Linked DNA regions of Drosophila melanogaster. The protein of the gene in region 1 interacts with the protein of each later gene in a pairwise test. Each region holds a gene or a part of one and is shown in the gene's direction. Other genes may lie near its edges.

The links.
Region 2: the proteins of Cpr72Ea (region 1) and lbl interact in a two-hybrid assay, tested with the Drosophila melanogaster proteins (one large-scale study listed by BioGRID).
Region 3: the proteins of Cpr72Ea (region 1) and CG7945 interact in a two-hybrid assay, tested with the Drosophila melanogaster proteins (one large-scale study listed by BioGRID).
Region 4: the proteins of Cpr72Ea (region 1) and CG13287 interact in a two-hybrid assay, tested with the Drosophila melanogaster proteins (one large-scale study listed by BioGRID).

The regions. Positions count from the first base shown.
Region 1 is NT_037436.4:16,359,386-16,366,715, forward strand, and holds Cpr72Ea (cuticular protein 72Ea), read left to right. Parts: upstream 1-3,217; 5' UTR 3,218-3,264; coding exon 3,265-4,290; 3' UTR 4,291-4,365; downstream 4,366-7,330. Other genes in the region: Cpr72Eb (cuticular protein 72Eb), read left to right, coding at 5,612-6,265; Cpr72Ec (cuticular protein 72Ec), read right to left, coding at 6,634-7,330.
Region 2 is NT_033777.3:21,429,348-21,438,067, reverse strand, and holds the start of lbl (ladybird late), read left to right. Parts: upstream 1-3,934; 5' UTR 3,935-4,100; coding exon 4,101-4,803; intron 4,804-8,720.
Region 3 is NT_037436.4:15,519,332-15,527,823, reverse strand, and holds CG7945 (uncharacterized protein), read left to right. Parts: upstream 1-3,686; 5' UTR 3,687-3,991; exon of another isoform or gene 3,992-4,106; coding exon of another isoform or gene 4,107-4,312; intron 4,313-4,359; 5' UTR 4,360-4,608; coding exon 4,609-4,856; intron 4,857-5,243; coding exon 5,244-5,264; intron 5,265-5,321; coding exon 5,322-5,464; intron 5,465-5,628; coding exon 5,629-6,005; 3' UTR 6,006-6,113; downstream 6,114-8,492. Other genes in the region: CG42728 (uncharacterized protein), read left to right, coding at 1-113; CG42729 (uncharacterized protein), read left to right, coding at 316-873; CG33985 (uncharacterized protein), read left to right, coding at 1,017-1,631, 1,694-1,912; CG33986 (uncharacterized protein), read left to right, coding at 2,601-2,616, 2,675-3,492; yellow-k, read right to left, coding at 6,176-7,204; mex1 (midgut expression 1), read left to right, coding at 8,315-8,367.
Region 4 is NT_037436.4:5,879,362-5,887,034, forward strand, and holds CG13287 (uncharacterized protein), read left to right. Parts: upstream 1-2,942; 5' UTR 2,943-3,045; coding exon 3,046-4,431; coding exon of another isoform or gene 4,432-4,458; 3' UTR 4,459-4,729; downstream 4,730-7,673.

The DNA.
Region 1 (7,330 bases):
AAGGCAAACGCGCGAATGCTGGCGATGTCGAAACTCAACTGTTTGGACAAATGCGCAGCCAGTGGCTAGCGAAGGCCCAAGCGGCGTATGAGTGATATTTTTGTTTTGAGTGAGCTTTCGCTGAGTGAAATAGAAACTCAAAAAGGAAAATCCTCCTTAGCATTTTATCCAAAGAAAAGATGGCAAATCGTTGGTGAGCTAACATAAATTCCAAAACTTTCTGAATGAGATAAGGAAAACGATTTGGATCTTATAGACACTTTTACTGACCCCCCAATTTTTTTTCAAGCGATGACTTCATTTCGCAAAATTTTATACACGAAAACTAACAACGAAAGCCACACGACGAAGCCATTTATCAGAAAGAAAAAGAAACAAACGAGACCTAAAAACAACTCAGAATAACAAAAGTGACGCTACACACCAGAATCTTATCAAACCAACAAGTTACACTCAAAATTTTGGTTTGTTGTGAGTGAAATTCTAGGGAATAAAGCTTAAAGCTTTTCCTGATTTTATATTGTCTAAAGAGAAGGGGAGGGGTTCGCCACACAGTCTGAGCTACTAAAACAGTGAGTTTGTAGTCAGTAAATTTGTTTAAGCGCAAAAAAACAAAAAACGATGCGTGAAATTGTTGGGCAAAAAACACACACAACAAGTGCCAGACAATTCGAATAATGAAGGGTGTATCTTTTGGGCTTACTTAGACGTGTTTTTGGGGTGTGACTTGGGCTATACTAACCAGTGAGCTCATGCTTAGCTATGCAAATGAGTACTTATTTCAAGCGGTTAAGATTTGTCGACCGCCTTACTAGGTAAATGGGTTCTTTGAACTTTTCTATTTTGGACATTCAGGAAAAAGTAAAAGTCAAATAGGAAATCATAAGGAAATTACTTCGCACTCCATAAAATGATTAAACACATACTGAAACAACAAGCCCGTCCTAAACCCAAAACAAACCCTAAACGAACGAAAAAAAAACCTTTGACATTGATTTATGAGAACTGACGGTCGGAAGAATTTGGTAAGTTTTTGTGGCCAACTCGATGAAGTCATAGCCCTGGCCCAAAACCAAAATACAAAGCAACTGAAAGACTAACTTGGAAAACGAAATACCCTGAGGAGACTTCTAATTAATTTCGTAAATTAAGCATTAGGTATTACAAACAGAGGTCCATTGATTATTATTATTTAATATACAATGTTTGATATGTAATTTAAATATTTCATTCTACAATATTCATTTAGTTTATTGACCAGATGACGTTTAGAATATTCTTTAATTAAAATTAGAAAGAGTTAAATTTCCTATATTTATGGAATGTTTTACAGCTGAAATACCTTTTAGACTGATTCGTTTGCTCTTTTTTTCTAGGACATAAAATCAAAGTACTCCCAGTCCTGAAAAATGAAAAACATGATTCTTGCCACCTGGCCTATCTTAAGTGCACCTTTAATTAGCCACGAAGGCAGTTCAAAGAACCAATGGTGGTACACAAATCAGGGCACAGTCCACTCGAGACAGAACAAAGGGAGTGAACCAAGTGGACCGGACTATATTGCCAATCCAACTTCAATTCCAGGCCAGAACTAACCAGCTCATTAAGCCAGGCTGGAATGGTTGTAGAGAATTGGGCTTTGATTGAAACTGAGTGCCAACGGGGCTAACATTAAAACGCACTTATCAGCCGAGCCGTCAAGGCCAATCCAATGTGGTTCTTGCAGTTGCTCCTCCTCCTCCTCCTAATCGGGAGCGAAGTTTAAGCACCAGAGATCTGAGGCATCCGATAAGCCCGCTGCTAAAAATAAAAATGACCAGCGAAGGAGGAACAGGAGATACCAATGCAGCTGCAGTGCATCAGAGGCGGATGGGAAACATATTCTTAGGGGGTTTTCTTAGTGTCCGGTTGAAATAAGTATATATCTTCAGTGTATACTATAAGGTGTCTAAAAATTCACATTATATTATTTATTTAGCGGACTTAACGATTTAATTAACCCTTTTCTGTGTCATATTTGTAAGCTCTTCGCATAAAACATATATTTCTTATGTACATACATATGTATCTAACCAAGTATTATAATTTTTAAGGGTACTTATGACCCCCCTAAGACCCCCATTTTGTTCGCCACTGGAGTGCATGACTCCCGTGTCCAAGCTGTGGCCAAATGTGGCCCTTGGCCTTCACTCACCTTGAGATGCCGTTGTTGTCGTCGTCGGTTGTTGCCACAGTTGTTGCATTTGCTGTTGCAGTTGAAGTTGCTGTTGTTGTCGTGGCCCCGTTGCAGTGTGCGAACAAAAAGGAGGCTGAGATGCCACAATGCTGTGGCAGCAACAACGATTGCATATCAATTACACGCTGGTCTGGATGCGGTCTTTGGCCTTGATGGTCCACCCAGCCAAGGCCCTTGGCTCGCTTGCAGATCCAGATGCAGATGCAGATGGAGATGCCAGGCAGCGATTGCTCCTCCCGCTGCGGAGAACCAGGGTCTGCCTCCCTCATTTGGGCCCACTCCAGCCTTGGCCACAATTAAACCAAATTGACAACGCCTTCACGAGGCGTCGATCCCCAAAAGGGGAGTGAAAGGCGGAGCTGCAATGTCCGTTAACGACACAAGTGGACACGACGACGCATTCGCATCTCCTCGTTTGCATTGAAGTGCATCTGATGGATACATTTGGAGAAAAAATTAATTGGCTGTTTACTATTTTAAAATGTGACAGATATTATTACTATTAGGTTATTCTTTAATGAAATACGTGTGCTTGTACAAATTTGATGAATTCTATTTAAGTACAATAAACCACCTTTTTTATCAATAATAAAATATTTTTTTAATGATTGTCATAATCATAAAATTAAAATTTCAGGAATTTAAGAACAGTCTTTTTTAGCAATATTATTATTTATATGCATTTAAATTTATGTTTTAAGCTTTGTACAAATCATTATTAAACAAATTACGAACTACTTATTTTTGGATTTAATTTAAGTCATAAAAATCACGTTACTATATTAGGGTAAAAGAGCATAAAACATTTGTATACTCTCTTAGATAATAATATGGCATACTTTTAGAATTTTTTCGCAGTGTATCAGAATAGAAGCATCTGACCGGCAGGAACCTCAGCCAGAACCAGAACCTAGAACTCGCGAAAGAACCTGCTGGGTATAAAAGGATGAAGACCTAGGCTCAGAATCAACAGTTACCAGTGAACTGACGAACAAGACTCACTCGAAGCAATCTTCCACTGCCCAACCATGAAGTATCCACTTCTGCTGTTAGGAAGCCTCAGCTTGGCCCACGGACTGGCCTTGTACTATCCCTATGCGTACACTGCCGAGGGATCCGCCGTGTTCACGCCCACCCAGCGCCAGTATATCGCCAAGGATGAGTTGGGTCAGTACTCCTATGGCTATTCGGAACCATTGTCCAGCAAACAGGAGACCCGCACCCTAGACGGAATCACCCAAGGATACTATAGTTACCGGGATGCGGCGGGAAAGCTGCAAACGGTTAACTATGTGGCCGACAACAAAGGTTTCCATGTGGCAGCCACTAATCTGCCAAAGGCTAAAGTTCCCCAGGAGTCGCTAGAATTTAGTCCCAGGAGCGCGTCGCATCCAGTAGACCACCATGTTGAGCATCACGCGGAGGTGTCGCATGCTGTAGTTCAGCATCCTGTTGGCCACCATCCCATTGAAGTTCCACATCATCACACTGTTGTTGAAAGCGGACGAAGTGCTCATCCAGATGGACATCATCCCGTCGAGCACCACGAGCACCGCGTTGCTGTAGCTCAGCATCCTGTTGGCCATCATCCCGTGGAAGTTCCACATCATCACACTGTTGTCGAAACCGGCCGAAGTGCTCATCCAGATGGACATCATCCCGTCGAGCACCATGAGCACCCCGTTGCTGTAGCTCAGCATCCTGTTGGCAACCATCCCGTTGAGGTTCCTCATCATCACACTGTCGTTGAGAGCGGTCGAAGTGCTCATCCAGAGGTGCCCCATTCTATCGAACACCACGAGCACCCGGTTTCTGGCTCAGACCCATCCGGATCCCATGGTGGCCACTCCCAATTGCCTCATCCCGTTTCTGATACCGCAGAAGTGGCTGCGGCCAAGTCGCTTCATCTTCAACGCGTCCACGATGAAGGCGTGCGCAACCAGGTGCTGGCCAAGATTCCAGTTGCTGTGGCTCGCAGCCACCATGTCGTGGTTCCTGCTCCGGTCTACGGCTACACCATTCCCAGGTACTACACCCCCGGATTTTACTATTGAATGGCAGCTGAATTCGCACGATTTGGTTCATTATTTAAGAATTTCGAATTTAAATTAAAAAATTGTCAATCAGTCTGCAACGTTTCTTTTGAAGTGGTAATGGGATAATATAAAGAAATTTTTAGCAAATTCATTTTGGTAACACAATATTTGTTCGAAATATATTCTTTCTAAGTATTCTTTCTAAAATTATTCTTCAATCAACAAATTTCTTTATAATTTCTAGTTTTAACATTTGTATCTTTATTTGAATATAATCATAACTAAACTCGCGACACCTAAAGTTCAAGATCCGGCTGAACTGAACCCTTTAGCTGCCCAACTCCTGGACTCACGGAACACGTTCACTCGGACCCTGTCCTACCTCAACCTTTTGGCCCCCCGACCCACCGATCACATTCCACATATGTGCAGCATAAACTCTTCATAAATGTGGGCCGAATTTTGATTTCAATTAAATTTAATAGCAGCATAAACAACGGCAAAGGCAACAACCTAAATAACTAAAACTGGAATTGGTAGCCGGCGTGTCCTATAGCCCCACCCGGTTCCTTGACCCCTATCCGGATGATTTGCAGCTCACACTGAGAGAAACAAATGACCAATAAGTATGACACATTTTTATAAAAGTTTAAAAGTGCTGTTAAAACATGGTAACTCTTGGTTATCATTCGACACTAATTATTTAAATAACGTTGTTTCTAGCTCGAAAATAACGAAAGTCTTAGCTTTTTAATTAATTAAAAAATTACAACCTCTCTTCATTTCATAATTTTTCTTCATTTTTCAACTCCACTTTCTCTCAGTGCACATCCGGAGCCACTGAAGAGCAGCCAGCAGCCTGATTAAGTTCTTGCTTTGTGGCATTGCGGAACGTTGTTGCTTGTCTCTGTACATGTCCACATCCGATGCAGTGCGATACCTATAAGATACATACATACATGTATGTACATAAGTGTTGCTGCCCCTTGCGCAGATGAAAACAAATTGCGGCTTTTGTGCTCAAATTTATGCTGAACTTGTTGAAATCGAAATCGACAAAATATTTATGTACGAAAATGCGAGGAAGCAGAGGAAGAGGAAAAAGGAACAATAATCCTCCAGCCTGGTGGAATATGAAAGTAAAACCCAACCGGACGACCTTCCTGAGAACGCACGAAATTGTAAATTTTTGGCAGTAGGCGCCGCCTATAAAAGGCAGAATCCCCAATCGATCCCAGCACAGAGTTCTCTAGAGCGAGTACTAGTTCACCACACTAGCAGCGCCTTAAAAAAATTTAAAAAAAACCCTCAATTATCTTAAACAGCCACGCTTGAGAAGATGTACTTCCTTAATCTTTGCCTGATTTGTACCACCATCGGTTTGGCCGTCGGTTCACCAACCTTGGAGTACGGTCCCCCACCAACTTCGGATACGATCAGTCAGTATCACCACCAGGATGAGCATGGCCAGTACGCCTATGGTTACATGGCACCACTGTATTCCAAGCACGAGACCCGCACCGTGGATGGTGTGATCCGGGGTACCTTCTCCCACATCGATGCAAATGGCGAAACCCAGACCGTGGACTATGTGGCCGATGCCGAGGGCTTCCATGTAACCTCCAATCTGCCCAATCAGCAGGCCAATCAGGAAACCCCTGAAGTGGCTGCACTGCGAACACAGCATCTGGAGGCCCATAACCAGGCCAAATTGAGGTTGGCCGGAGACTACTCCGTGGGTCCACAGCCTGTTCGGGACACTCCCGAGGTGGCCGCCGCTAAGGTTGCATTCTTCAAGCGTTTCGAAGCCGAGAAGCTGCGCAACAAGTTGCTCGCCGAGAAGAAAGTTCTGGTGATACCGAATCCAACTCCCATCGCTGTTCGTTCACAGCCGATATATGTCTACCAGCCCACCACCACAGGATTCGTGTACAACTACCACACCAAGACGCAGGCCCAAGTTCCATCGAGGAACTACCTGCCAGTAGTCTAATCTTTGGATTGGTCGTCTTCGCAAAAAATATGTTAATTGTTGAGCAATAAATGATGCAAATCGGAAATTTAAATTATATCTCAGATTCATTATTATAGAAAATCCTTGAAAAAGACACAAGTATATGGCTTAGAAATCACTTAAGCCATCAATCACATTTCTAATATTTAAATTTTCAGATAAGATAAAGATATTCACACTTTTCACAGTATAAGCCACCAAAGAAAAAATGGAAAAAAATTTACTTTTGGCACAATGGTGCTCTGTCTTGCATTTATTCTTAGGAAACACGTCATAGTCACTCCTCACTTTGTTCCACGATCATTAGCCGGCTTTGATCCATCACCACGATCCGCATCATCAGGCCATTAATTGCGTTTGCTTACCAACAAACTGCGACTAAGGGCCACTGGGCGCAGGGTTCGCAGTTCCGTGGGCGTGGTAACACTGTACTTGGTGTTGGGAGAAACCAGGGTGTAGTAGGCACCTATTGGCACACGGAGATCACTGTTGTCCAAACGATCCTCGAGCAGTTTCTCGGCACTGGCCAAGTCGCCGAGTTTCAGGTAACTGCTGGAGCTTAGATCAGCCAAGGAGTAGACGGTGCGCAGGCGCAGATCATCGCCATCGCGATCAGATGAGATCTGACGAGCATTCTCCCGGATTTGACTCGAGTCTCGCAAAGATTCTTGGTTTCGGGACTGATCTTGGCGCAGGTCCTGGCGCAGTTCTTGACGCAGATCTTGGCGCAGATCTTGACGCAGGTCTTGGAGCAGATCTTGACGGGATTCTTGGTCAATTCTTAGGTCCTGACGGCGATCTTCTCGACGATCTTCACGACGATCCTCTCGCCTCTCTTCTCGCTGATCCTCTCCCCTCTCTTCTCGCTGATCCTCTCGCCTCTCTTCTCGCTGATCTTGTCGTCGATCTTCTCGCTGATTTTGTCGTCGATCTTCTCGCTGATCTTGTCGTCGATCTTCTCGCTGATCCTGCCTCTGCTCCTGTCTCAGATCTTGTCTCAGTTCCTTCCTCTGATCCTGTCGGATTTCCTGCTTCTCTCGCTGC
Region 2 (8,720 bases), on another chromosome or scaffold:
TTCATAAACACTCAATCCACTTCATTTGATTTGATTCAACCCGCTATTAATCACCCAAGCTGAATATCTTCCAGTCTTGGTGGTTCCCCACTCTGGTAGCGACTAATTTATATCACGATAAGATCACACGCTTGAAGCCGCCAAAGCCAATCACATTCCCATCTTGATCGAACCCTCGATCCCCCTCCCACCCGAAAACCCATCAAAATCAGCCACTTAGCCCATCTCGCAGGGAACACACACGTAGGCGCCTCCAGCAGCAGGTTCTTCAGTGTCCGTCAACGGAGCTCGGAATTCGCCGGACACGTTCGCGGACAAAGCTCGATGCTATGGGGCCCACTTAATACGTTTGATGGCAATAAGTTGACGCCAGCCGCCACAGTTGTACCGCTACATCACCGATAAGGCGGCGGACGGCTATTTGGAAAATCAAAAGATTCACAGCTCCTACAAACAGAGGGAAGTGTTAATGGATGTCACTTTAGTCGGACCCCCCCTCCACACTTTTTGGCTTGATCCACCTCTGGATGACATTAAGCTTCATCAGACATTCAACCCGATGCTGAATTAGCATACAAATTACACACGAGCACTAGCACTCAAAAATGCTTGAAGTTTGGGATTTTCGAATTTTCGGTTTTCTGACCACAACAAAAAGCCGACAAATTTCGCCCCAAACTCTTCCAAGTGGCAAACGGCTACCGATTTTATTATTGATAATGTTTTGATTTATCACAAAGATATACAAATTGCCACTGCCCCAAACTTCGGTTGAGGTCCATTCTCAACCGTGCCGCAGGGCGCGGCACTTTTGTGTGTATCTTGTGGATAAACGCTGGGGCATTTCATTCCAGGCCATAATTTTTATGCGGTAGCTCGAAAGTCGGTTGTTGGTGTCACTTCGTGCTAAGTTTCATCGTATCTGCACAGAGAGAAATTGTGTGATTTATATCTCTTTCTTTTATACATCGAAGATGAAATTGTAATTACAGATATGCTTCGTTTAACAGATACATATAACTGTTGTAGAATTATTTTAGATATCCAACCTGATCGATAAGGATTTAGATTCATTTAACAAAATCGGCTTGTAATATTTTCTCTCTGTGTGGTCTTGCGGCTTCGCCAAACTACTTAAGTTGAGGGATCTCCGGTGCTGGTCTTAATAGACAGACGGATCCGATCCGCATTGACAAATGTTGTTCGTCGCGTTCAGTAAATTGTTTTCGACATTTTCGTGTCGCATTTGTGGTCGAAATCTGCATAATGAGTTGGCAAAACGCTGACAGCTGTCCCAAGTGTCGAAGATTACTCGATGATAAGGCGAGGATCGCTTTGGCCATAAGCGCATTCGTCACAGATTCTCCTTCTTCTTTCGGGCGCAGCTGAAAGGTTGAGGTTGGCTTGAGGATAGCTGCGAACTGGCTATAATTGGCATGCAGTTTTGGGAGCGCTGAGCGCTGATTGTTGACAACTGGCTGGCACAACTTCATCATCGTCAGCCACGGGAAGCGAACTCGATCTCGAGCTCTGGTGAGGATCGGATCGGAGCGACTCGGCAAAACAAAGGGCGACATTAATGCACTGCCAGCAGCACTCTCGAAGTCGCCGAAGGGGCGTGACGAATTTGACACAACGGCAATGACTTTATTAACAACTGACTCCTGCTCCGACATCCCCGATCACCCTGGCAGAAGCCACGGCTCAAACCCCCGTCCATCCCCGCCCCGGGCAATATGACAATATGACAATGTACACAAATACACGAGGACCGTGGTGAAGAGAGCTCTCCGGGGATTTGGGCTTGCCAGATGCGACAATAAACACTTTTGCTATTTATGAGGTTTAAATGAACACGGGTCCGCCATCTTGGGTCGCCTAATGAAAGGATATAGAGCCGATACATTTGGCTTATGAATTTGCAGAATTAGAGGCGTGTCGGATCGGTTGAATGGGAATGGATTTGAGTGCCGGCTCGAGTGGTTCGCTTCCTAGGGGCGATGGCTAATTATGATTGACAGGGCGTGTCTCGTCTATTGAGGCGCCCAATTAAGAGTCGTTTTATAATTGATTTTGAATATGAAGGCAATAGCGATAGCGAATGTTCCCAAGCCCCGTCAATTTCTCACTTCCAAGGCAAGCGAAAGGAGAGAATGCCCTGGCTCGTCAACTTTAGTCAGTCAAGTGTAGGCATTAATCAAACATCGCGGCCATCTTGCCACCAAAATAGGGGGCAGTCGAAGGGATTGGAGAAGGGCCCTTATGCAAATTCAGCGTCATAAATTGCGATGTAGGGTTCGGGTAAAATACATCTAAACAACACCCTTTCAAGAGACTGAATAAACTGGATTTTATATTAACATACTGTGCTACTCATTTTGTCAGCTGGGTACCTGTGTACTTTTGCTGGATCAAGTTATTATTTTGTAATTTTATACGTTAAACATTAAAAGCTAATTTGCCCATACTATGTAGTGTAAAAGTCCAATTTGTTGTAAGCCCTTGATGAGCCCAATAATCATTGGTAATTGATGCTCCGCGCTTTAATAAACAGATACAAACACAAATTTGTTGAAATTGCCACTTCCCCTGATTTCTTTTCCCATCTCGAAATAATCAATTATACTCGTTTTCAAAGGGCAGTGTAGAACCCATTATCGATTACGGCTCGCCAGTTACATCATTTCACTTAGCCGACTCTTCAGTCACATTCCCACCGGCAAAGGGCGCAATGCAGTTAAATAGACATTTGCATGCAAAATTCAAGGAAAAGCGAGAAATAAAAAAGAAAACCAGGACAAACAGCGGAGCGAAATTGAATAAAAAACTGACACTGACAAACAAACGAAGCGAGGCGCATACAGGGCGCATACGTGATACAACGAGCGGACCAAAGTTGCAATCAATTTGGAAATGCATTGAGTTGAGCTGTGGAGTGGGAAGCGAGGGAAGTGGCAAGACAAACGAATGTGTGCCAGCAAAATGCACTTAAACAAATGGAAATATAAATGGGAAAATATAAAATAATATAATCATAAATTGTGTGTAGAGAAACTAACTAACTAACAAGATGCAGCTAGTTATTAGATCTAACAACGATCTCAAGTTAACAAGTAATAAATGTGAAGAGCAAAGTAACTGTCATGTTGTGCCATTTATAGGTTATTACTTTTGAGGTGCAGAATTCGTTCGCTTTTTAATTTATGTTGAGGAAGTTTGAGGGAGAAAGACATTTTTACATTACTATAATATTTTTCATAGGCACATCTATTTATGACAAATAAACCTCTTTCAAAAAGACGTTCTTGAACGAAGGATTGTCAGTTCGGGGAACTGTTTTTCCCAGTGCATCAGAGGTCTCGAAACACGGATTCGAAGAGGCTTGTTTTTCCAGTGGAAAATAGATGAGGAGTCGAAGCCAACGGTACAACGAGACATCATTATTGATGACAATTGAGTGGGCCAAAAGAGAGCTGCGAAAAAGCGGGTGAGCCAACAATTACGATAATTAACGCAGTCAGTCGCCTGGAAAGCGACGGGAAAGAGAGGGAAATAGTGCCGCCCCAGAGAGAGAGCGAGAATGAGAGAGAGAGAGAGAGGGAGGAAAGAGAGCGCATGTCAAATTGTACAAATTAATGACGTTCGCACGTTGACAGCGACTTTTGGTCGGGTGAGGGGGTCTGTATGGCCCTCGACCAACTGCTATTGGTCCTCTGGTTAGCTCTCCCTCTCTCCATCTCTCTCTTTTCTGCTGGCACGCCCCCTTGGCGAGAGCGAGGCGGCGTTTCCAATTAGACAAGCTGCGCAGCTGCGCGAGTCCGTGACGTCATGGGTGCCAACCAGTTTGGAGGCCCCAAAAAGCAGTTGAGAGAGCTTGGCCAAGAAAGAGAGACAGAGAGCCGAGCAGCATTAGCATCGCATTCTGGCCACGAGCCATTTTCGTTGTTGGTGTTTGTGTTGCACGTTGTGCCGACGTTTTTCGTGTGACAGCCGCGCGTTTTGCCGACGCGTTTTTAATCGCCCGTAGAAAAGAGTTTGGAGCTAAGCCGTAAGGATACAGCCAGGATGTGCTGAGTGGCCAAAGGAAAATACACCTAGAGATGCCGCAAAGAACTCCCAGTCCCGCTAACTCTGATGTTTCGGTGGGTTCGCCCAGTCCACCGCCTCTGAGATCGTTGAATATGAAACGATTGCGGCTTTTGAGGAGTCCTATTAGCCTGGAACATGACCGCCAAAAGTCATCACCCGTCAGGGTCAAGAGCTTTTCCATTGCCGATATCCTGGGGCGAGGGCATGAAGAGGATCGTGTGGAGAAGAAGCCGGAGAGAATTGCCATTCCCAATGCTTTACCAGGAGTACCTGCTCCATTGGCTCTGATCAACGAAAGATTGCAAATACCCTTGGTGCCGAATTGCCCTCCGCCGGCTGCACTACATACATTTTTATCGCCCGCTTTGCTCCACAGCTATGAGCAGCGACTGGCCTGGGACTACCAGCGCCAGCTCCAGGAGCACTTCCAGGCACAGGCGCAACTCCTCCGGCAGATGACCCTGAATCCCGCGATCATTGCCTCCGAGGACGGCAGTTCAGAGCGTTCCCAGCGATCAAGCAGCAGCAATGGCAGCACCGAATGCTGCAGTCCCACCCAGGCGGAAAAAGTGGAAAAACGTTCCCAAGAGGACAGAATGGAGGTTCCTAAGAAGTCGCCCGAGGAACAACCAAAGGGGGCCAGCAAATCAAGTGGAGACACTCCCTTGGATGCCCTCTTCCAGCTGTCCACCAAAAACTTTGACGAAGAGCAGGGTGAGTAGTTTTCAAGAGAAAATATATTCCTCTAAATCCAAACAGAAGAAGACTTTGCTTTTAAACTGCGGAACCCAGTGGACAACCAAAAATCATATTCTTCATATTTACTATATGTAAAAAAGTACAAACAAAATTATAGTGCAGAGATAATAGATATTTCATCAGCTTTTTCTCAAGTTTTATCAACACCCCTGAGTATATGAGCTTTTTGTTATATATGATTGGAATATCTTCAACATAAAAATATCCACAAACTGTAGAATTACTTACTCCGCGTTCACCTCTGTGTGCACAACCGCAATCAAATTACATTTTAATATAAACTGATTTCCCAACGAGACCCATCATAACCATTAGCCTGGCCAGCGATTGATCAATTGTTGTCATTACGTCTTGATGAGATTCTGCTTAAGGCGTAAAAACAGTAGTGAGGTCAGCCTGCTCGTCCGAGGTGGCTAAATCAATTTCAGGCCAGCCGGCTGGCAGCTCGCTCGGCATCGCCTTTGATGGCAATTGCCTTTCCCAGACCCAGACCCAGTCCCAGTCCCATACCCATACCCAGATCCACTCGAAGGCCCCAGCCCGGTCATATGATGATGCTCTAGCTGCGGCGAGCTGCTGCTCCAACTCGAACTCAGACTCCAGCTGATGGCTGATGTCTGATGGCTTTGGCGCATGCGTATCGTTCGGCATAATTTGCTTAGCGGCGTTGATTTCTCGTTAAGTCGCAGACGCAAACCGATTTATCCCACACTCGGAATAAAAACAGAAACTGCCGGGAGTCACTGGGAAAACTATTCCTCATAATATCTTCGTTTGGAAAACACATCACCTTGATACAAATTATTGTACAAACAACTAACTAAGAGTATTTAAAAATATCCTGAACGGAACATTTCTTTATTTATTATATCTGCAAATCAATTTCCATCATTTTTCGGTGTAAAACAATATTGGCCATGAATGTCTATTAAAATATCTTCCCACAGCGGCTGTCATATTTTTTCCGAGTGCACTGACCAGCAATCCATCAGCGAACCCATGGTCTGCGCTTTTGTTCATCAGCTACTGAAATTGAATTTACGCGCCGCACGTACATCAGCCAATTGGTTCGTGCTCCACTCTAGATTGCCGCATTGCCGGATTGCTGAGCTGTTGGGTTGTTCGGTTGCCACAGAGCCATCTAATCAGCACCAGCTGATTTGATCGGTTGATCAACTGCTACTGGCATTGAGTGCCGCCCGGGATGATTATGATTATCGCCGAGCTGCACTTAAGCGCCGCAGTTTGCGAAAATTGTATTGCTTTTTCCCAAGACAGCATCCGGTGTGGAAGTGGAAGAGAAGACGCGAGGTTGGCCATGGACTGAACCCTTTCTACGGCTGCCTCCTGCAATTTGCCCGGCTGATCAAAAGCCGTAACCGGCCAGTTGAGGGAAAGATCTGAGACACTTCCGCCTGGTAATTAGGAGCAGCGACAACTCCCATTGCAACGCCATCGTAGCCCCACTTGGGGCTTGGGCCTGCTCACCGCTCATGACGATTGCCGGCAGATAAGCCATAAAGAGGCCCAGGCAGCACATACAAAATAATTACAATGAAAATGGCTGAAAAGTTGCAGCTATTTGAACAATGGACCTGTCGTTAGGTCTTGTCAATTACGCGTAGATACCTGCCACATTACGTCACCGAAGAATGGGTACCCTTTAACACGTTTCAGCAGAGTCGAATGTTGCCAGAAGGGTTTCTTTCTTTTAGATCGTAGAACGGTTTCCTTACATTTTCTCAGTTAGTATGTAGAATTTCTATGGTTCCGCCAATTGAAAATGGAAAGTGGATAATTACTGGGGGAACTACCCTCTTACAGGGTATACCGGCAAACGGATGGCGACTTGGGCACAAAGAAAGCCCGGTCGTGGGGCGATCAGCACGGTCGGTGGCTGCCGCTGAAATGTGGGCTTGATGAAACGCCAAGACAATTGGCACAGACAGCCGCGTTATTGAACGCACAAACGGCACAGAGCGGCGGATGCATCCCTAATTACAATTTAATTACTAAAACTTTTCCCACTTGACAAAAAGGCGGCGGCCATGGCAGTTGAGGACCAGAACACCAGAAGACCCAAAGACTGCGACGCAGCCGAGCATGAACCACAAACGCACCGCAACCAGATACATTGACAGGCCCTAGACACACACACACACACTTCGGCCACAATGATGATGGCTCTTCGGGTTGACAGTTGATTTGACAGATAGCAGTGTAAACATTTTACAAAATGCGGGCTGAGGTCGCGGGGCGGGGCGGATCCAAATAACAATAGTAAAACGCTGGCCGGGTGTTAGTTGTTAGGCTGCCCAAAGAGTCGGAGCTAATTAGTTCAACTAGACGTATACTTAATTTCGAATGGGAGCAAAGTCGAAAATGTAAATAAGTGGCGGATTGAGCATAAATTATAGTTATAATTGGAAATTCGCACGGAGAGTGGGCCGGCCTGTGTGCTAACTACCATGCAAATGGATCCCAGTCAGAGCTGTTAGAGGGCAATTTTCAGTCACGTCAAATCAAACGATCCATAACCGGTCCACATCCACAAATGGTGCTCCCATGTCCCATATGCCATCGCAACTAATAGGTGGGGTAATGGCTTTTCGAGATTCTACTTTCCGAACAACGTGACATTCAGAATGGCATGCCTTGGCTTAAAACGCCCCCTACAATGATAATACGTATATGTATATCTGCTGTGCCAGATAGATTTCCATCTTTCGCATTAGTGGCCACTTGCCCCGTAATTGCTGTTCAAATATATTTGCCTCCAGATCGCCGGGTATTAAAAATCTAGTTGCTGATAAAAAAATATTAGTGCTGCGTGCATCAAAATCCAAAAACAATTTAGCACACAGATATTTGGATAACAACAATCTCTCTGTTAGTTTATTGTGCTGGAGAGCACAAATTGTTTAAAATACCAAGGTTTCATTTGAGTTCCTTGCCAGCTAGGCACAAATCTACTGCACATTCCGACGATCAATGCGCAAATTGATCAATTGCACTTGCAATTTCATTCAATTTAAATGTTTCCCAAGAATCCCATTCAATAGGCGAAAACCTTTGGCAAAAGTCAACAAGCTCCCAGTTCAGACTACACATAAATCAAGCAGACAAAAAGAAATTCCGCTAAAGTGTAAAAATAAAATTCATTTCAAATGATTAATAGCTGCACAGCGTTTCAACAAAATTCGTTAATGACATTAAAACACCGAGCGCGGCAAATACTAATACTATAAAAAAAAATGTGATTCGCATATGTGCTTATTGAATGCTAGAAGGCGAGACTCGTTTGCCTCAATAAAATCGAGAAAAATGACTGCGGGCGCAAACTGTTCTAACGTCGCATAAAATATGCATGAGATATTGCAAAAAGCCTCCGAGCAGCCGAAACAAGTTGACAAGCCGGCGTTCGGCATAAATTCTCTAATTAACGGTTGCGCTTCAAATATTTTATTAAAAATTATAATTCGCCAGTTGTAAAAGTGGCAGAGAAATATGAGTTTGCGTGCCGGCTAACCATAAAGCATTTGCATTAATATGAGCCAGCGAAAACTACAGAAAACTAGCCGAACTTACGTGGTGGCCCCTCAAAATTGGTTAACTGCCTGATTTGCTTTCACTGGCCCTCGACCCTCCGGGATGGACACCTCTACCCATATAGGGCTATACCATTTCAAGCGGTACCACTCGGGTGGTCCGTCATCATGGGGCACCCCTCGAGCAAATTGCATGACTCGCTCGGTTCGGTTAGAGCCAAAGTCAGAGCAAGTGACGCCTGGCCAGCATATACTCGCATCAGTATCTGAGACGCTCAGATACTTAGATACCCAGATACCCAGATGCCCAGATACCCAGGTACA
Region 3 (8,492 bases), 840 kb from region 1:
CGCAGAATTGTAACTACTTCTACTATTGCGTTGATGGCTTTCTGCTGGTGGAGCAATGTCCTATTGGCTACGCATTCGATCCCCAAACTGGAGCTTGTGGTGGACGTACGTAATCGCTCCAGCGATTGTACTTTAAAGTGAAAATAATCGCACCAAACTTTTAATTAAGCCTCTTGTCGTGTCAAATTAAACAATTATAGCTAGAAAATAAAAATGAATTTAGAGTCTTATCAGAGAACAAGCAAACCGCACAGCATTTCCACCTATAAAGAAGGCACTGATCTCGGCGATGAGGCAGTGCAGAAAGCCTATTGAATGTGGCAATTGTTGATAGTCTTGGCCTGCCTGTTACCTGGCTACCTCTGGGTGCAGGTGCAGGCGGTTTTTCTCGAGGAATGCAAAGGTGTGATCATCAATAAGGTGACCAATGAGAATCAGGAGTGCAGTGAGTTTGTTCACTGCGATGGCGATGATTCCTACTACTGCAATGGGGATTGTCGTGAGGCCGTGGAGTGTTATACCAATGTGGTTACCACACCGGTTACCACATTAAGACCCATAGGAACCTCTACGGAACGAGCACCATCCGCAGAGCCAGTCAATACTACATCTACGACTTTAGCTACTACCACGCCAACAACGATTGCTGTAACCACGACTACAAGCCAAGTTCCGAGCACCGATGTCTATGTCATCTGCAAGACGAGTGGAAGGAACGGGGTCTATCCCTATCCGGCAAATAGCAATTACTATTATCAGTGTATTTCCGGTTATCTGTTGCTCCAGCAGTGCCCACAGAATTTCCATTTCGATGTCGCCCAGGGACAGTGCGTTGCCACAAAACCCAATCGTTCATCGGGCTTACGTTTGTAAGATTCATATCCCAGTTTGTAATAAAGCAATTATCAAAGGCGTGTTCATGGGCAAATTATTTTCTGATAACGAAAGGTGGTAAGAAAACCCCAAAGTTTGCATACGCAATCGATCAGTTTACCATTCGAGATCGAGCTGAGAAGATGTTTGGAGTATTGAAGTTTGGATCCATCCTGGTGTCCCTCCTATTTCTGGCCACCAGTCATGCGGATGTTTTCGATGAGTGTAACGATGGTAACAACCTATCCTTTGTTACTTCGCCAAAGAGTTGCGCACATTATATCTTCTGCAACGGCGATGAGTCATACGATGGTGAATGCGAGGATGGCGAATACTTTAGTCAAGATATGGAAATGTGTGAGCCCATGGGCGATATCGACTGTCGCACGGGATCGGAGGTGCAAAGGGAAAACACTACCGACAGCTCCTCAACGGAGATTACCTCGGAGTCCAGTACGATTTCCACAGTTGTAATCACCACATTAGCCCCATCGGCAGTGGTCACATTACGACCATCAGTCAATCAAAGTGGAGCCAGCAGTACGACTTCCGTATCGCCTGCTATAGAGATTATTGTGACCAATGTGTGCCCACAACTGGATAATCAGAGTCGTATCGCATTGCTGCCAAATCAGAACTCCTGTTCAGATTATTACATTTGCTATCGCGGTGTGGCACTTCCCATGAGTTGTGCCACCAGTTTGCACTTTAATTCACTCACCGGAAAATGCGATCATCCCGAAAACGTTAGGTGTTTGGTGGGTTAACCTATGGTACTTCATATCTTATAATTTTTGTATAATAAATTATTTATTTACAGGCCATGACTTATAATCCCAGGGAGCAGTGCAAGCGACATGTAATCGATGTTTATCCGCATTCCGACAACTGCAATTACTTTTACCAGTGTCGCTCTGGCTATTTGATGGTCCAGCAGTGTCCTTTCTTCTACGGATGGGACTACGAGAAGCGATCCTGTGTAGCACTAGGTCAAGCCAAATGCTACAACAAGCTGCAAATGCAAATGAAAATTTATTAAATACACATAATAATATTTATTAAAAAAAAAAAACGAAATTTTACATTTAGTTAATTAACGAGCTTTGTGGAAAAATTGAAAATATTGAACATAAAGTGTTGTATGTTTACATATGGAATAAACCTAAATACTGGTAATCAATAAGACTTCTTTGTAAAACTATCAAGCAACACGGCCGACCTTGACTCTTTCCTAAATTTATCAGGTGATATCAAGCAATTCTTTCATATCTCTGCAAAATGAAGACCTTGAATCGAAACATTTGCCAAAATAGGCCAACCTTCGATTTGAAACATAGTAATTTGACCGATATGATACGATTTTCCTCACAAGGACAACATATGTCATCGTGATATCACCTAATCAATTTCCTAGCTAATCTCGGCTTCCTTTTCACCAGACTTTAAAATTAAAAATCCAGCATTAAAGTTGTATCTGCTTGCCATTTCGAGATACGATATCGATTGATTGCGAGGAAAGGGAGCCATATTTCTTTTTTGGCAAAACAAAATACAGGAGTCTTATCAACTTCTTCCTACAAGCAATTGAAAATGTTAATTTTCTGATACTGAGCCACATATGCGGCTGTATCTTGGCGCCGAATGTATCACATATATGCCAAGTTCACCGGGCATTACGAAATTAGAATATAACTGCGCTCTACTGGAGTCTGACGATAGAAAAAACGATGATGCTTAATACGGGTTAGTAAGATGGATATTCTCAAAACTAATAGTATGATGAGAATTTATTGGTTTCCAGCTTTCTATTTGATCGTGAACTGCTTGCTGGCCACAGCGCAATTAACCTGGAGACCATCGAAGCCCACAAACTCGGTGACCATCAGGCAGAGTGGTAGTAGAATATGTGCCAATCATTTGGTTGGTGAGTTTGTGGAGCATGCGGAGGACTGCCACATGTTTTACCTGTGCGTTGAGAACGGGGATGCAGTCCTGGCTTCCTGCCCACCAACGATGCTCTTCAATTCGGAGAGCAGACTCTGCGATTCGGCGACAAATGTAAAGTGCAGAAATGAAACGGATCCCATAGAGACTCCTCCATTCGATGGCGGAAATGGTGATGGAGATCCGAATAACATGGTCACGGATGCCGCCACTTATTGCTCCACGTTGGTGGAGCAACAACAATCCAGCGACAGGATTGTATATGTCGGCAGCTCGAGTAGTTGCAGAAAGTACTATATTTGCTACTATGGACAGGCGATCTTGCAGGAGTGCAGCTCGCAATTGCACTGGAATGCAATGACGGGTAAATGCGATATTCCGGAGAGAGCCCAGTGCACCGTAGGTGGTCAGGAGGATATGCCAACGAATGGAAATTCCGGTTTCCCATCCGGTGGCACCGCCATTTCGAGTGATCTCATTCACTGCCCCGCCTACGGACAGCATCTGTATCCCCATATGCAGCGATGCGAGTTCTTTATCTACTGCGTCAAAGGACACGCCAGCCTGCAGCAATGTCCTTTCTATTACTTCTTCGATATTGCCACCAAAAGTTGTCAATGGTCGCGCACGGCTCAGTGTGTGCGAGATTTAAATTTGGCACCACTAATAAAATAGAAGTTTTAATATATGTAGCATACAATTTTTTGAACTTTGGGAGATACCAAATGCTTTTAGAGAGGTTTCTTTTAAAAGTACTACTACTTTTAAAACTCCCGCCGATTACAGATGAAAACCAGAACTAATGTGTGTACACACTAACTTTCGACAACAATGTTCGATGAATCGGTTTCGATAAAGTTGACTATATGGCCACTGTTCTTTTTTGCGGTAGTCAGACACGGTCATACAAATCCCACAATATAATGTTAAATTAATCATATTTATACTTATCTTCATTTAAGTAAAGCGAAATATTCGATTGACCCTCGAAGTAAACAACCCAGGTGCTCAAAAATGAAGCTAACAAAGTTAGATTAATCGGTGTCTACGAATTATCTGGAAACACAAGCATTTCCCGTCATCTAACTCAAACTGCCCAACTCGAAAAATCAACAATATTTTTGCATCGGGCCAAAGGTGCATTAAAACCGGAGCCTCAAGTCTCGGGCGGCAGGTAATTTATTCAAGTTCAAAACAGCCACCCGGGGATTCTCCTAGACATCGGTTGCCACAAGAAAAGAAGAAGAATTAGGCGTAATCTTCTAGAAAATTGGTGATTTCAGCCGAGAATGTTTGAGAATTTTCGAGGTATTTTTCGGAAACGGCGTCGCTGCGAGTCGGACACAACACCGCCGCCACCGCCGCCGCAACCCGCCCAGGAGGCGGAGATAATAAACCGATATCCGGAAGATATAGAAGCCGATACGCCCGAGTCCAATGATGGCTTTGACGCCTCCTGGACCGAAGGCTCTTTTCACAGCCCACATTCAGATAGGTAATTGAATTCTGCGCATTCACGCTTCCTCTTCTCTCTTATTGCAGCTTCAAAGCAAAAACAGATAAAATTAAGCTTAAGCAACAGCATCAAACACTTCGACACCCACTCGAAAAAAAAAGCTTAAGACATTCCAAAAAAAGTAGCCAGCAAAGCGGCTAAAAAAAAATAAATAAGATAAAACCAAAACCCAAAACGAAACAGTAGGCAGCTATCCAACCATCTTGGGTGACAAACACTTGACCGGCTTTTTGGAGGGCGACAGGTTTAAATCAAATCTGGAGCAGCCGCAGGATATGGAAGTTGATGCGCCAACAACGCAGGAAACCAGTGACACTCATCATCATCACCATAGTACTTATCACCAGCAGCTGCATCAGATCTCGCCCAGCGATTACCACTCGGAGGCATCCATGAATTTTGATCATTTGCAAGACCTGAGGGCCGATGCCATGGCCTCCTCATCCCCATCCGGATCCGGAGGTGGTGGCAATGGCGGGAACAGCTCCTACGGACTCGTCGACGATAGTAGAGCTCTGGACAGGTTGTTATTCCATCATAACTAAAACCAAATCAGACACGAAACCAAAACAATACCACCGATTATATTCACACAACCTCGTAGCGAAACAAAAGTTATACGTTTCTTATCTATTATTTCTTCACACTACCAGCTACCAGCTTCATTCGAATCTTTTGTTCCATAATAGTAATGGTGATAGCTTAAAGTATCTGCCGCGAACGCCCACACAACTCTCAAAAGAGCTTTGTGTGCGAGCGCCTTTTCTTGTAGACATATTCTGGTTATAATTTCGTAGCTCTATAAGTGGTCAGTCGATCTGTAGCAGAGCGATCTAACAATCTAACGTTGCTTGTCTCGTTTCATGACTTAACCACTGAACCGCAATCACACTTAACCGACATGTGACAGACCATTTAACGCCAGCGAGAGGTAAATCTTGAATTTATAATAACCACTGAGCGTGACTAACCTTTGAGTGACTCGCAGATTTGTCACCATACTGGATAGTTTGGATGCACGTGTGGAGAAGCTGCGCAAGGATGCACTCAACCTGCAGGAGAAGAAAGACTACCTTCTGATGTCCATGGATCTGATCAAGAGCAACGAAATGATGCAGAACATGAGCGAAGGTAAGTGACAGTGATTCTTAAAACTAATTTGAACCCTCATTGTTCATAGCTTTACTAAAATGTGTATTATTTCGAAGTCGGAAGTAATGGTTTCTGATGACAAACTAAGTAAAGGGTTATTCATAGTTGACTGTGAGCTAATGTTGTACCACCTTCTTTTGCAGCTGAACGAGAGGAGATCATTTTGTACCTACAACGGGTGAGCTCTCGCTTGGCCACCGTGGAGCTGCGTGTGCGCACTGTTCGGGACAACTCTCAGGAGGATTCCCTTAGCCAGATAAATGTATTGATTGACAGCATGATCAAGATGGGTGATCCCGTGATCGGACGCCAACGATGCCAGTTTTACTTAAACGCCTGCTGCAGCAGCTCAATGGATCCATCCGGACACATGGACACCGTGCCCGAGGCCGATGTTGGGCCGGTCGACAAGAAGTTCGAGAGCGTTTTGCTTGGCTGCACTCTGGACGATCAGAAGAACATCAAGAAGCGGCTCCAGGCCTTAATGGCTTATCTGAATAAGCAAACTGTTAGCCATTAATTAAATTGTTTTTTGGTCTATTAACTATTCATAGCATTATTATCAAACCAAACGAAATACATCACCAAGCTAGATGAAACGAATAATAAAGAAAGCAGCATATACACCAGGCCAGCAGTGTTTGAATCAAGTAAAATATAATTTTAATATTTATATTAACAAACTAAATGTTATAAGCTAGGAAAGCACATGTCCTTCGCATTCAAGACCCGATCACTTAGGACCCATAATGCATCATTGGAGGTGAAGAAAATCTGCTGAATGTTCTTCGATGTGATATATATGATTTCGTTGCCCTCGGCTGTGATGTTGGCTAGTTTGGCACATCGTACGACAGCTCCGAATTTGGGGATAACATAGTACAATGTTCCGAAATTGTCGATGATCATGCTGCGACTGCTGCCCAGAAGACTGCCCAAATGTGTGAGTTTAATGCTATTGTTAATTGGTTTGCTTGCTAATTCGCTTTTGCCTTCAATTTCCAGTCTGTCCACCGTACTGTATAGATCACCATCCTGGTCGGAGAGTATGAGTTCCCCTTGAATTCCGAAGATGAAATCCACTGGCTTGATGGGAAACGATTGATTCATATTCTCGTACTTATTGCTCTCCAAGGATAGGCGGTGCCACGTCTGCTCCAGGATGTCGTAGGCTAGAATTTCTGGTACCTTTCCAAGGATGAAGTAAATATGGCGCTCGTGCTCGCATCCCGGACTCTTGGGTCCCATTTGGACAGTCAGAAAGTGGGTGTCATTAGCACCTATATGGTGTCCACAATCGATTCTCAATAGCTCCGCGTTGTTACGCATCAGATCGAAGACAAACAAACGGGGTGAGCACGTGCTGCCGGGAAATCCGATGTCCATGACCCACAGTCGACTCAGTGCATCCACCTGGGACCAGTGTGCCTGTTGTACCAGAGAGCAATCATCATGATCCCCCATGGAATGAACATCGATGTGGGGAAAGACGACAGTGGGCATGGGAAAATAGGAAACCGGCCATTGCGCCTCGATCAAAGTGGGCGCATCGTTGCTTTCTACATTTACGCTGAGAAACACTCGCGAAAAGTGCATCGATAGATGACGGACTTTGTAGCTGGATTCGTTTAAACCAGATTCGGATAACAGCCAGGCGTCCGTGGCCAGAATTAGACCAACAATGAGAAATCCCAAGCCGAGGACACCATGTGTGACCATCTTTAAACGCGAATTCAGACTGAGCTTAGGGCTAGAGAACTCTGCTTACGTTGTAAGTGCCCGTTCAAGAAGTCCACCAAAGTGTCTACATCAGCAGTTGGGATCGGGTGTCGCCGAATATATCGGCGACCTGCATTAATGGGGACCAGCATTGGAGTGTTTCTCTATTCACTTGTGGTCCCAAAAAAAAAAAGCTTACCAATTTCAATCGGAGAATATCGAAATCATGACACAGTTTCCTCTTAAAATTACCCAAAATTGGATTGTTATATTTTTCAAAATAAATCAAAGTTAAAACCAACAAAATGGTTGTTTTGTACCACCATAATAACCTATAATAAATAAATCATAATAAGGCTATTTTTGTCGAACTTTAGCGATATTGATAAGGTTCCTGTGAACTGAACCTACCTTAAGTGCTTAGTTTTAACATAACCTTAATGTTAACGAGTATTTCTTCGCGTAAAAGTACAAAAAAACCCTATCATATCTTTACAGCCATTATAAAGATTGCTTATAGATGACTGATTTCACTTGGGAATTGCCAAAAAGCTAAAGTGAACCCCCGAGGAATCAATTAATGTTGTTTAGCTTTCAGTTTTTAGTACATTCGTATTTTTTTAAGTATTAAAATTATTTAATCACACGAATAAACATTAAGAAATATTTTATTCTGGAAACTTTCTTCGTTATAGAGCATTTATCGTTGTAAAAAAAATAATTTCATTAGTTTACATTACATTTTCGTTTATATGTTTAGATTTTTTCTAATTAAATGATATTGTATAATTTATTGCAAAAATTATAATACTCACTTCAAATAATCTGAAACAAATCCACCCACTCCGAAAAATGTGGTAAGCTTTATTTTCTAACACCTCTCTTCTGATTTTATTGATTATAACTGGAATCTTTATCGGTTTCTCTCTTTTTCCATCAGTAGGTTGAGAGCTTTTCATACTTTTCACGCCGAAATGGGAAAAATGGCACTGCGCGTAGAGTCAGTTATCCATTTGAGTTGGCCAAGATCAGATCGAAATACGCTAAAATCATTTTCGGGAGCACAATCGAATACTCATACAACACACACTTCAAACGAGGATTATCATCATGTGCAACGCCATTTGTGAATGCCTTAAATGTCCTGGCAAAGTTATTTGCTGGTAAGTTTCCATCAGATTGAATATCCTTTTAAATTAAGTATTAAATAAATAATTACACAAAAATGGATAGTCGACTTTAGGCTTTTTTTAACTATTATGGTTTTACCATAGAGATAAGGTTTGAT
Region 4 (7,673 bases), about 10 Mb from region 1:
TTCCACTGCGCCAGCTCAACATAATCCACTGAACAAAAAGCTTTAAAGATTGTGATAAAACTTATCGCATATCAAATATTAAAACCCGTTTATGTGATACCCGATGCTATCTGTTTAACCTTATGAAATATGTGAATACCATTTGAAAATGTTATAAAACACAATTAAAGGTATTAATAATATTATGTATATCTTTTTGTTTGAACTTGAAATTTAACATGCAGAAGTTCGACAATTTTACTTTTCTGTGCACTTAGTTCGCTTAGATCTCCAGGCAGCAAGAAGCTGTTTCCTCCAGGATTTCCACACAAAACACAAAGATTACGGGAGACAGGCAGCACATTAACATCAACCGAGGCCACAATCTCCACGGAAAAGGTGTCTGCTGTCTCCGGAATAAACGTAGCCAGCTCTACGCTAAACTTGAAGCAATTAGCATTTACATTTTGCTATCTTACCAAGGATAATTGAAACCCGGCGAGGATGCTATGCCCGGGCATAAGGAGCACGTAGCTGTGTCTAAACTTGAGTCGAGAGATTGCCATCTTAGTTTTTAATTTGCTTCCTGGGACATTTCCTCGCTTTTGCTCGCATTTCCTTCGGTCTCGACTTAATCACACAAAGGCAATTTCACGCCTTTTTGCGCTTTGTCTCGGCCTGACAACGGGGCAATCACTTTGTCACTTGGCAGTTTGATGTATCGACAGGCGCTAAACCAAACAACCAACCCACCTAAAGTTCCATCCCCTGGCTCAGTGACAAGACAAAATCATCTAGTTAGCAATAGAGCGAGATCAGCAGGGGTAGATAAGCCTTTGGGTTTAGTGGAAATTTTGTGCTCGATTTGTATATCGGAGATTTTCATTAGTTTGCGCTGAAAATATTTACTGCAATGAACTGAGAATGTGTTCGGGATTTTCACTTGACTTCAATTGTGCACACGTGTCACATATGTGAGAGTCCAATTGAAATGGGGGTAATTTCTGGTGAGATGTGACAATAAGTAATATATTGAGGAAATTGGTCCGATGTAAGATAAGATAACTGATCAGATATAGTTTAACTTACTCAGACTCCAGCATTTAATAGGCTTGGGTAACCCAATTAATTCTTATATATTTTAAAATGATTTTCCATAAGCTTTAAGCATCAACTGCACCAAACATTTGAATATCCCATTTTATTTATCAATTTAAAATCACATCAGCCCATGGGTTGAGCTTGCATTGTTCGATCGGCAATTAATTAAATACAAGCTAAACAATATTTTTAATGAAATGGCCATGTTGGAAGGCAATCATGTGTTTAATATTAATTTCGTCGACAGCCAACATGGCGACCATGCGAATTATAGGCTCCAGCACACAGATACTCAAATGCACCCATACACACACACACGCACACTCGCACACTCGGCTGTTGGCTATAAATATTAATTAAAAATGCAACTCATATGGCAAGTGGAACAATTAGCACCTGAAAATATGCAAACATTAAATTGCCGCTGCTGCAGCCACATGGCTGCAAGCAAAAAGTGCAACAAAAGAGTCGAAAATTTAAATAAAATATACATACACCCCATAGCTGCAAACCCTGTTCACGACTGACCATAACAGACACATATTTTGTCCTGGCAATGGCCACATCCTTGCATCCGGTCTGCCAGGATCTAGGGTCTAGCCGGAAAAAAGGGAAATAAACGGGGGATCAGAACGAGACGGAAAACGAACGGAAGGCATTGCACAATTTGCTATTGTTGCATGTGCATATTTACTGGGCACTTGCCACTTTTTCCACATAGCGCTAACTTAACTGACAAATAAATATTTCGGTATGTTGAAAGATTTCGACGCTCAACAGTCGCCTACAAAACGGGGGAACCCCAATTCCAGAGCGTGTGTGTGTGTGTGTGTGTGTGTAGTTGGCAATATGTAAAAGCTACGCGCAGCATATACTCAAAATCCAAGCCAGCAGCAACAAACGCAACAAATACACCAGCACAAAACATGGCCACATATTCACACAATCTCGCTGGAACTGCTAAAAAATCGACAAAAACAACCTGTTCGGAAACACTTGCAACAAGGACATCACCACCGACAGAGACGGGCATAGAGCCAGACAGAGAGGGCAGGTCCTGCCATATTTTCGGGGTGGGTGTGAGAGGCAAATCGAGAGAGAGAGCAAGCGAGAGAGCGGCCAGGATCAAGCACCGCCTCCTTGCGAAAAGAGATGAGTGCACAGTGGGCGGAACAGGGAAAATAATTTAGTAAAATATAATGTTTTGGTAAAAATCTAAATGGAAACCATGCGAAAAAGTTTTATTTATTGTAAAATATTTGAAAACATTTACCTAATGAAGTTTAAGCGCAACTACTTCAAGATATTCAACTCTTTTGAATGAATAAGAGTAACTTCTCATATAGATGACCCTAGTTTCAAATCCTTCTAAGTTTAATCAATTAAGTTTTTTAAATAATATCACACAACTTTAACAACAACATTGCCCATTGTACCAATGCATCACATACAGCACAACAAGGTTTTCGAACAAGCCAACCTGTCCGTGAATGCTAGCCAACCAGGAGTCGTCCTGGCTAGGACTCGCACAATAAAACCACAGAATATGTTCGCCAACTGGCAAAGCAGATGGAACGCTGGAGAGACGGAGAGTGGGCCAAAGAAAGAGAGAGAAGACCGCTGGAGAAAGAGAGGACAAGCGGGAGTGAAAGAGCAAGAGCAGGAACATAAGGGTGGTGCTCTCTGCAGGACCTGAATCTGAACAGACTCCGAGCAGAATCAGGACAGATGGGCCAAGTGCCGCGAGTGCGGAGAGTTGCTTTTTCCCAATTGAATGGGACAATATGAGAATACGAGAATTCCAACTGGACGCGGTGGTTGTGGCAGCGGGTACTTAAAGAGGAACAGATTGCGGGCGGCCAGCAGTCGAAACTGGAATTTCGAATCGCAAGGAACTGTATAGAACCAAAGACCCAAAGTCCCTACCAGAGCCAAGTGAAAGTCGAAAAGTGTATTGAAGTGAAAATGAATCTGCTCATGGATAGCATGCCGTCGCACGCGAATCCTGGCCAGCGTCGCCCAACGCCGCCTCAGCACGCCGAGCTTAGGATCTCCACATCACCGCAACAGTCACCGCAGCAAAATCAAACCACTAATCACAATAACAACAATGAGACACCCACATCGCCACCGGGTGGAAAGACCACTCTTAAACGCGCCTTCGATGTGGCCTTCCTCATGATGCCCGATGAACGGATTAAGCAAAAGCAGGCCGAGAAGCAGGCTCGCCTTCAAGAGGCACTGCACCATCATCACCACCAACAGCAGCAGCAGCAGATGAGCCACTATCCCACAGATTTGTCTCCTCGAGGAACCTCCTCGCAACCACCTTCGCCGGCGGCACTGGAGTACATTAGTCTGTTGGAGGCACGCCAGCGGTATCCACAGATCAGCATCCGTTCGCCGCGGGTTTATGATGATCCCAGTGTGGTCATACCCCTGGTGGATTCTCCAGAGGCACCATCAACTTCTTCACCACCACCGCCCATGCGCAGCGCTTTTACCAAAGTAGCCTCCTCGTCGCTGTCCACTTCATCATCCTCACCATCGACCACTTCACGTTTGGAATCACCCGTGGATGCGGGAGCTCCGCCCTTGAGTCCCGATCAGCTAAGCTGTCACTCGATAAGTCCACCATTGGTGACACCTCCACCAAGAACCAATAGCGGTGGCCAGAATCCAAATCCCCTGCCAGCAAATCCCATAGTCTACCACAACTTCCGACCGGAGTATCAGTTCAACGGAGCCTTCCAGGCGGTGAATCCCATGCAGGCTCTGCAGGCACAGCAGCGCCTTAAGCAGCAGTTGTTGTACACCCGTCCACCAGGACCTGGAAATCCCAATGGAGGAGGACCTACTATGCAGGCAAACTCACCACCGGGTCCACCGTCGGAGTTCCTGCATGCCTATCCCGGATTTGCTCCGCCACCACATCCATTCGCGGTATCCCAACCTCTCCAGAATCCCGCTGCAGCAGCCATTCTCTCCACGTTGATTCCACCCACATTGGCATCCACTTTTACACTGACCGCTCAGAATGTGTGCGCCAAGTGCAACATAAGTTTCCGGATGACCAGTGATCTGGTGTATCACATGCGATCCCATCACAAAAGCGAAGTGGCCTGCGATCCAAATCGACGGAAGCGGGAGGAGAAACTCCGATGTCCCGTCTGCCAGGAGACTTTCAGGGAGCGACACCATCTAACGCGACACATGACCGCCCACCAGGACAAGGCCAGTGATCACCAGCCGCAGCTGGAGGACTCATCCTCATCTGCCGGTGACAACGAGATCATCAACGTGGTCGGCGGCACACCGCCAGGTCGCCGAATGGGTGGTATGCCCAAATGATCGAAGCATTTCTTCGGATATTTTTAAGTCATCAAGTCAACTAACTCCCCAAAAACAAAACCCGTTGCCCATTTTCGATTGTGATATTAACTTTAGTTTCCCCCACGCTCCGATTTAATTTCCCCTTAGCTTTAAATGTAGTGCAATTTGTATCTTAAATATGTAACTGGATCTCCCTGTATCTCAATTAATTATCTTTCTTATCGAAGGACCCGAAAGGATCTTCAGTTTCATCATTGTAAGATATTATGGCTAAGTTGCAAATTCAATGTGTGGCTGAATGTTTCAATAAAAATCTAATTGTTATGCCAATTCAATAGTAATCACGTTTTATTAATAAAATTTGGGTTAATGGGAAATTTTATCTTGTAGTAGATCTGAAGTATTCTAAAATCATGTTATGAAAATGAGCTTGAGGATTATTGCAATCAAATATTTTTGAAAAGCTTAAACAAAAGCCAATGAGTTGTCTATGCTTTCGAAATAATGTGATTAAGCTTATATAGACGCCACCTTAATAAGAAATCCCAAAAGACAACCGAGCTTAAAATTCAATTAATTTTTGAAAAAAAGAATCCCAAACCAGGGATTCTAGAAGACGAAGATATCTTGATTTGGCAGCATATGGAGTTCTTTGAATTCCTGGCCGGACAACCCATTATTTCGATTGTGAGGTAGACCGAAAACATAGGCTCCCAGGACCAGAAAAAGCACCAGATTTTCGCGGGTACCAAAAGTAACATACGCCATGTTAGTAGAGCGAAGAATATGTTCAACTTATTAGCGCAGTGAGGCAGTGAATTCTGTAGTTGCGATTCAGCAGTATTCATTTTGGCCGCATGCAGCAATTAGATGCGGCCACAAAAACTGCGACGCCGACGCTAATGAGCTGGGAACCGAAATTGTAACAAGATGAAAGGATACTTCGGGGTTGTCCTGCGCCCAAAAAAGGCAGTCATTCGTTTAGACGGCGCGACGAATACGACGAGCTTCCAGGATAACCCATCATCGCGGAGTACTAGTGCAGTTTTTGGCAAAAATGTATTTCGAATTTCAATATTTCCACACTTGCCAACCCTCCGGAATTCAGTTCCCATGAGCCTCGAATTTGTAGCGTAGCAAATTCCTACAAAGCGCAACGAATTCCTTGGGTGGTGGCTGCTCCCCCAGCGATTTCCTTGGCTCGTTGCTGCACTCAAATGAGCCACATCGAATTGCGTTGATTTAGCGTGGCCAAATCCTGTTAGCCCCGTGCCACAGAAGCCAAGCAGCCAGCCAGGATTCTCACAGGACGTCTTCCTGCCTTATCGACTGATGTATCAATTGATGGCATCGCTAAACGGCAAACGCTCTGCTCCGATCCGCTCTGCTCATTGTTCCCATGATGGGATTAGCATTTTATGGCTTTGTGTTCGCTGCTTGCCACTTGATAAAGACATTTTCCAAGCTCCTTTCACATGGCTGGAGTGGGGGGTGGAAAACAATTGCTGGGAAAGTTAATGTAAGCAAATTGGTGTGGAGCATTAAGGTGAAGAGATAAAAGGACTTGGGGTACAAGGTGGTAAGCCTGTAAGGAGCAACACCTAAAATAAAAGCTTATTATCAATAATATTGGAGTAATAACGTGTGCAAATCTATCAACATTTCTAATCTAAGTTCCTAATAATAATGGTAATAATTTTCATGATGCCGCAAGTATTGTCTTGATTTTAACAGACATCTCACTAGCTCAGTTCTTTTTGCCAAAATCCTGGCTGAGGCAAAAAATTTGAAGACAATTCAAGTTTTATTTTACCGCCCATTCCGAGATATCCCGTTTATAGTCACTCGTCTTGATTTATTTCGTGCATTTCCCCAATGAGCAATTCAGGCTTCCTTTAAAAAACAATTACAACTTCCGACGCCCTCGAAAACAAACAAGCGCCACCCATATGAACTTCCATTGCCGTAAAGCGAACACATCGTCAAAATCACATTTCCCCATTTCATTTACCCAAGGAAGCCACCGCATCCAGAATGGCAAGACAGACAGTTCCATGGCAGCCACTCACTCAAAACGACGCCGAGGGCGACCACAGATTCGCCAACACGAAGGCAACTCCATAATAAGCCTCATCATCATCCTGGCTGGGTGCTACATAATAGCAGCCATAATCACATTTCATATTTATCACATTTTTACGCCCACAATGGCAGATCCGGGGGGATCCCATTGCGCAGCGACCTGCGCCGCTTTGTTTGCCTTGCCTAACCTCGCAATTTGACCGTAAATAAATTGCCTGCTCATTTCGGTTACCCCCAAACTAAGCCAACTCATCCAATCCCCTTGACTGAAAATCGTGTTCAAATACGTTTAAACACAATGCAAATACCGTCATAATAGCGGTAGCAAGAAAATCCGACAGCTGGATTGAGCCTGAACCGTGAGCCGTGGGCCTTGGCTCCGCCCCATCGTCAACCCCCCTTTAATGGGCCACCCGTGCGTATGAGTGATTTCTGCTCATCTGCGCTTAAAAGTATGCAAATGCCATTGCTGGAGCAGCCGGGATTGGGAACATCGCCGACGGGGCGCGTGGAGTGGGCGTGTCAGAAGATGACTTTTATTACATTGTTGGTACTGTGACTGGTGGCTGGGCAAAGTGTTTTTTAACTGCAGGCAATTTAATTTCCACTTGCTCCAGGTCGTTTTTAATTTCCACAGCACCCAGTGCAATCGATGGGGTTTGAGTGTTTGCCTTCTGATTAGCCCTGTGGTTTGGGCCACTTAATTCCCTGTCACACGGAGAAAAATAAAAGGCACTTCATTTGTTTGCGTATACTACTGAAAGAAACATCTTCAAGTTGAAGAGAATACGACTAGTTACGATGGAACAAAATTGAATGTTTTAATCGTTGAAAACATAAATACTAATCTTAAGCTTAAGCTTAACATAAATTGCCACACAAATTGATAGAAAACTTGAACTAAACAATCGAAGGAATCATAGCAGAAATTTGGGATATGTTTTCTGTGCACTGAACGCGGCACTATAAGAGCCCCTGAAAAACTGACAGCCAAGCCGCTTAAACTTTGAACTTTGTCATTTCAATTTTCGCCAAACGGATGCGCTTTGTTTCAAGCTACATCCACAGCCAGGGAACGGAGACTCAGACTGAAGAGCTGGAGAGCTTGGGAACAAGAATGAGCACGAGACTGAGGATGAGGATGAGGCTGGAACTCGGTGCGAGGACATCCATGAGCC